Linked DNA regions of Drosophila melanogaster. The protein of the gene in region 1 interacts with the protein of each later gene in a pairwise test. Each region holds a gene or a part of one and is shown in the gene's direction. Other genes may lie near its edges.

Region 1 (3,102 bases):
AACACCAAAACGAATTCGATTCGAGACCAAACAACAACCAGACAAACGAACTCCACTTAACTCGACTTCGAGTTCTGTGTGTAATCAAGGAAGTTGTTGGCGCTCTAGTGTTTGGCAAGTTGCAACCGGCAAAAAGTTGCTGGTGCGTCTAGTTTTGTATAATTCAGTCATTAAAATTAATAAGACAATGCAGATCACACGCCCCACAAAAACACGCTGACAGCAAATCCCAAAAGGCGATGCAAGAAGTGGCCTAGCCAGGCATTTTCCAAACGTTTAGGCCTGGAGGCGGATGTGGCTATTACAAATCTAATTACATGGCGTATGAGCGATTTTCAATACTGTTTTTGGCCAGGCCAAGCTGAGTCGCACCGATAACGAGCAGATAAGGCCAGCTCAGAGTGTTGCTACTTTGCACCAATAATTACAACAAAAATCTCAGACTGGGCACTGCTTACTACAGCTAATTAAGTTGCATGTTTCATGGTGACAACCCAAAGATACAGATACAAAAGCAGTTGAGTTCGAGTTGAATTCGGGCCAGTCCCAGTGGACGCAGTCAACTTCTATTAGCCAGACTATTTAAAACTCTTGTCCATTTGTCAATATTCCAATTACTTGGAGATTGCATATGGAATTGTTTTGGAAAAGTGGATTAGCCGAAGCTCAAGTTCTTCGTGGAAATATTCACTTCCTTATGTGATTTGGCCATTACCATTACCAACTTGGTACGAGTTGGAGGCATAAATAAATTGATTAAAATATTTGTTGGTACTTTGGCCTGTTCTAATTGGTTGTAAGAAATCCCATATTTTCTTGCTTTTGGTCAAAAAGAGCAAAGTGGTTAATAAGCGCCCAATCGCTATCATGGGTTAAGCAAAAGGCAAAGCTTATATTATTTAAGAAAAGCTTACAACCAAGCTTCACTTTACGATAGCAGCTCAAAAGTATACGACTATTTTTCAAAACGACACTCAATTTTTCTGGCTTAAAACAATAGAATTGGTCACAAAGCCATAGCCATTATGTAGCTTTTTTTAACATATTTATTTGTTTCTTGTTTATCTTGGTTTTTTATTTCTGCAGCTGGAAATATTACACCCGGCGGTAAGTGCCAGTCAAAGATTTGTGCCAACTACTGCTAAACGAACCAGTGATTTACACTACCAAGCTGGCTGGGCCAAAATGTCTGCGGGCACACAGAGACCAAAGTGGACCGAATCCCAGTAACAATGGCATTCTGCAGTCGCTATGCCAACAATAAGAGCAACTTGGCCAATGATTAAATCGTTTCGGGGCCTGTCAGCGTCATGTTATGTATCTCGCTTCTGAAAACGCTCATTGTGGGCTTCTATTTTTTTTTTTTGTTTGTATATTTCTGCTTTGGTTTTTCTTCTTAATTAAATTAGAGCCAAGGTCGCCGCAAATGGGCTGGGAATCTTGGCGTGTTTGGTTAATTATAAGCAAAGTTAGAGGAAAGTATAGGCCATACACATGCGACATATGGTGTTTGGCCTACGATTTGCGTTGGTGGCACCCAAAAATAGTCGGGAAAATAGTCAGTGAGCCAGGGGAAAAAAAAAGAGTTTGGCTGTTGGTTATGCTAATGGCTTATGGCTGGAACGCTGGCCCACATCTGTGTGCCAGTCAAGTAGAAGAAATAACCAGGAGTTGGGAGCCAATTTAATGGGTGTGGGTGCTGCAACAGGTATCCACAAGTGGGTGGCTTGTTTATTTGCCTATTTACCTATTCGGCTTTAGCCTCGCCTCGGCCGAAAGCCGCTCGCTCAGTTACGCCCAAATGGGTCACTAATGAGCCATCTGGGCCTGGGAATTGGCTTGAGGAAAAACGCAAAAAACATCAGTATGGCAAAAACAAAAAAAAAAAAAACAAGACACACAAAATTTAGATGATGGCTCGATTGTTTGTGCCAATTCTAACGTAAAGAAGCCAATTCCCTTGGTCGGACTTGTATAAAACCCGAGTGACTTCTTCCACTGCCAAACATTGTTGCAGAGTTTCCCCAGCGAAGATGTTCAAAGTTGTGAGTTGCCCCTATAACACATAATATTTGGTAAATACCTAAAGCAATATCTATTCCCCTTAGGTGTTCCTTTTGTGCGGAGTATTCGCTGTCCTGATCCAGGCTCGCCCCAGCTACTTGCCCAGCTATGAGCACGTGGAATATGCTCCCAGTGTCGTAGGATACGAGAGTTATGCCCTTCCAGCCGCCGTCTCACACCAGAGTTCCACAGTGGTGCACGAGAAGCGTCCCTACTGGCGCCCCATTGTGGATCACACGCCCATCCTGAAGGCAGCCTATGCTCCAGCTACTTCGATCTCGTATGCCCCACTTGGATACGCGGGCAACAGTGCGGGATGGTACGAGCCGGGAATCTGGGGAGTATCCAGTTACCCCAGCATTTATCTGAAGTAGAACAACGAACAAAGAAACCCTTCTCCACAGAAAATCTCATTTTTGGTTATGTGTAACATATTACCTCTTCTGTATTGCAAACTTAAATGTACATCAAATATGCAATAAATAAAAACGTTCGACGTAAAGGTAATATCATAGTACCTATGATAGCTTTAGTGAACTAGCCTCTGGAATATATATAGTAATATTGGAAAACATTAGTTCTTGTTCTGGAAACGTACATAATCAAAAAACATACCAAACCAATATGGCTGGGTGCAACTGCGTCTCTTAAATCACATTTCAGTAAGTCTAAATTTTGTTGATTTTAAAGACAACCTGAATTTAATATTCAATTAAAAAAATTTTTGTTTATTTGCTGGGACAACAAATAAATAAATACAAATAAAATTCAAGCTTTGGTTTATTCAAAATGTTATTGAAGTATTTAGTTATTGTGCATCGATACCATTGTTAAATAAGTTTTGTACTTCAAATGAATTTAATTCTGTTTTTAAAACATTCAGAAATGTAGGAACACTTTTTAGAACGCTTCTTTGTAAACTTCAGAATTAATTTATATATCCCCACATCATTAAGAAATTCACATCATCTGTTTGGTATTCACAATTTAATTTATTCTTTTTTCGATTTCCTTATTTTTTTTCAACTAGAAAGGCAC
Region 2 (3,931 bases), on another chromosome or scaffold:
CACAGTTCTTTTTTTTTTTTTTCTTGCCCCACGGAGCAATCAAAACTGTCGCCTATGAAAAATGTTTTGGGGCAAATGGCGGCGAACTTTTCGCGGCTGGCGACTCGCGAACAAACAAAACAGAAAAAAAAAATAGGGAGAAAATAAAAAATGATGGCAAAAGTACACCCACGTGTACATATGTGCGCTCAACTTTGAGTATTTTCATTTTCAAATCGGTTTTTTACTTGCTTTGCGTTTTTTATTCGCTGACGCTGAAAAAGGCCGAACTAAAAAAGATACAATTTTCATGTTGGCAGTTGTAGTTTTTATTCGTATGTAATGAAATTTACGCGTTAGTTACTTACATATACTCCAAAAGATAAGACCTATAATTGTTAAAGTCTTATTTCAATTTTGGTTTTTCACAATTGAAATTGAAGTGAAAAAAAAAACAAACTTCCTATTGAAAGTTTAAATTAACTATTTGTAAATTGTGTAAGTAAATTACAGTTTTTGTCTAACTAAAACTTTTTCATTTGCGCGCAGTTTTTGCCTCCGTGAATTTTACTCCAAAAACATTTTACATTTCCCCGCAACATTTTTCATGAAAATTAGGTTTTTGTTTTATTTCATTTCGGGCTCTCTGTACAATTTTTTTTTCGAGATTTCCCGTTCGTTGTGTCCGAGTCCCAATTTGTGCGCTAAGCTTTTCCCCTCGAAGGGTAATTGCCTCATGTTTCATCTACACATCAATTAGCCGCAACAATTTAATTTGCCCGCCTGGAAATGGGAAAAGTGCGGTAGCTGGATAAAAAAAAAATAATAAGCACACAGCAATTTCAACAAGAAAAATCCATAAAATATTTGTGCAACATTTTCTCGCCGCCCAAACCTGCGGGCCGTTAGTGCGAGTGAGATGGCCAAACAACTGTCGTCAGCTATTTCAAATTGTCATAAAAATTTGATAAGGTTTTTTCCGCTGCTCCCCCAAACCACCCAACTCTGCGAATTTTTATTCCTGCGTCAGCTACAAGGCAAAAATATAACAGAAAAAAATGTTTGGGCACAAAAAGTGTTGGTTGCTCGAAAATATCATTTACAGTTAGACTGCCATGGTAGAGAATTTATAAATAAGCTAATTAATAATTATAAGCTAGTTGAAAATTAAAACTAACAAAACCGCTTTGCAAAACTAAATCATAATTATAATAGCTATATCTATTGAAATCATTTATTAAAGACCTCTTTTGAGCAATTCTTAGCCCACGAATAGCAAACTAGACTTTAAACCCAAATCCACCTTAAGTTTCGATTCTTTTCGCCTCACTTTGCGTAAATGATAATTGAACAATGGGGGCCGCCCATTGGGGCGAAAGAGAGGGGGCGTGCCAAGTGTGAGTGGCTGGCTCTCCCCATCCCTGTCGCGCTTTCGCCGCTGGTGTTGTGTGTGCATGGCAATTTGCGACGCAGAAGTAGAAGAGGAGGAAGCTAAAGAAGAAGCAGTAGCAGCAGTAGCAGCAGCAGTAGCAAAAGTAGCGGTACTGACCAGCGTCCTTTAAACGCCCGTCGCCACCTACCCCCGTTTCCTTATCTTTCGCTGTTAGCTAACAAATTTTTGCGTTGTTTTCGCTGTCTTGTCGTTTTCATTAAAATTTCATTGCTGCCGCGCAAAAATACGAAGGTACGTTGTTGCTTTTTTTTCCTCCTTTTATGACTATGTATTTTTTGCTCCTCGTTTTTTGCTCTTGTGGCAACAACAAAGTTGTTGAACTGAATTTTTTTGGGGTGTGGTCCCACACTCAAACGCACACCAGCAACGTACACACACGCTCATACACGCGCGCACACACACGCGCAGCAGCAACAACACAGCGGTAAATACAGCTGCTCAGCAAACGGTACCACCAGCAGTTGTCTCGCTCCCACTCAGTCAGGTTGTAAGCGGCGTGCGAGAGAGATGCCGCAAGAGAGTGAGAGAGAGAGAGAGAGCGAAATACTGAACGACTGGAACGGAGCGAAACTACGGCTATCTCACTCTGGCGCGCGGTAGAGAGCCGGGCAGCCATTGCTAAAAGCAGGCACTCACTCGCTCTCCCTCTCGTTTCCACCACCGCTGGTGTTTGTTTGTTGTTTTTTTCCTGCTTCTTCTTCCAACATTTTTTCTTGTTGTTTTTCTTTTTTCGCAGACTCTGGTCGAACGACTTTTGCTCTGCCCGCTGCTCGCTGCGCTGCTGCCGCCGCTGCCATCGTCCGTGGAAGGTGTACCGCAATTCATTTCCAGAGTAACTTTCGTGCCGCTCGGGTTGTTTTTGTGCGTCGTCCGTCGCCCAGTTGCTCAGTTGCTCATTCGCCCCGTTCGCCGCTCGTTCGATCGCTCTCGCCACTCGCCGCGTTCGCCGATAAGCAAGCAAGCACCAGCGCAAGCCAATAACAACAATCAATTCGCCGTCGCCAAACCGAATCAAATCAAATCGAAGCAAACTAAACCAATCAAACACAAATAAACAAATATCAACACGAGAAGCTATAGCTAACACAGCTATAGAGAAACAAAGAGCCCCAGAGGAGAATACTAAGTAATACAGAGAGATATATCCTTTTGGATATAACGCAGTGCCAAGTGACGAGAATCTGTTTTTTTACCGTGTTGCCAGTGCTAAACCATAAACATCGCCCAAAAAACATACATCTCTGGAATACAATATTTATATATATATAAATATACATATATATCTTTATATATATGCATGTGTAAAATATACTCATGCCATAACCATATAGTAGTTGGATCCGAAAACAAGTCACCATTGGAATACAGCACCGTTTTGCTTCTAGTTTTGTTTGTGTTTTTTTTTCGGTGAGTGCGATCCGCCGATATCGAGAAATCGGTAGCAATCTATATATCCAGCAAGGAATGTGGAGCCGAGAGATAAGCACGGATTACATGGGGAATCTGTAGACCTAAGTAGTTTTTGGGGGAGCGGGAATCTATCTTAGGGATTACTCTTATCAACTTGTTTATTTAGCAGAGATATTAGGTCACAAGTCTTACATTATCTATGACATATTTGAAATACACTCTTTAAACTTGGAATAATATTGAAAGATCTAACACGCTGTAAAGCTTAATTATTTTCTTTTTCGTTATCGCTTCAACTTTATTCTTGAGCCAATCTTCATTCTTCATTATAAAGCTCAGACTTTAGAGATATGTTATAATATGTTTGGTTCACTATTTTCGATTAGCCGAACTTGACAGATCTTTTGTTTTTCACTTACACTTCTACATATATTTACAAGGTTAAAATGTTCTTCCAAATGCTATAATCAACCGATATTATTTTGCCACATATACTAGTCTTTATTTAGCTTCAGATTCAATGGATCTTAGAAGTCTTTAATTGGAATACTATTCATTGATTTCGGGGACTCCCAAGTCCAACAATAGAGTTACCTATTCCATGCCCGAAACTTTGTTTCAGTTCCTTCAGCTCTTCGTGATATGATGGAGCCTTTTTTTTAAAAATCTGGTTTCGGTCAGGAAATTTCCGCCTATGACTAATGTGCTGATCGTAATGTGAGAAAATGCGCGTTTCGGAGATTCGTTATGATTTTCATAATTTTAATGGGCATATTAAGGCCGCCTCCCCTAATTAGGCAAAACAAAAAGAAGCCAGCAAGAGCCGACCAAATCGATACGAGAAATGTGATATAGAAAAAAGGCTAACAAAATGATAGGGCCAACGGCGAAGAAACCCCAAGAAAATCAATACTAGATACAATAGAAGACAGCCGACGGACCCGTTCGGGTCACATTATTCACACATATTCCCAACATCCCCACATCACCACATTCCCACTTCCCGATGTTAGCGATCGGATCGTCTAATTTCAAAGCGGCGGCTATAAATTAAAATATCTGAATAATACGTTGACTCCTCGCTGGCTA

What was found.
Region 2: the proteins of CG4982 (region 1) and oc interact in a two-hybrid assay, tested with the Drosophila melanogaster proteins (one large-scale study listed by BioGRID).

The regions. Positions count from the first base shown.
Region 1 is NT_037436.4:16,299,451-16,302,552, forward strand, and holds CG4982 (uncharacterized protein), read left to right. Parts: upstream 1-2,002; 5' UTR 2,003-2,033; coding exon 2,034-2,045; intron 2,046-2,108; coding exon 2,109-2,438; 3' UTR 2,439-2,577; downstream 2,578-3,102.
Region 2 is NC_004354.4:8,649,002-8,652,932, reverse strand, and holds the start of oc (ocelliless), read left to right. Parts: upstream 1-2,251; 5' UTR 2,252-2,558; exon of another isoform or gene 2,559-2,839; intron 2,840-3,931. UniProt on the Drosophila melanogaster protein: Transcriptional regulator involved in pattern formation and cell determination in the embryonic CNS and larval imaginal disks.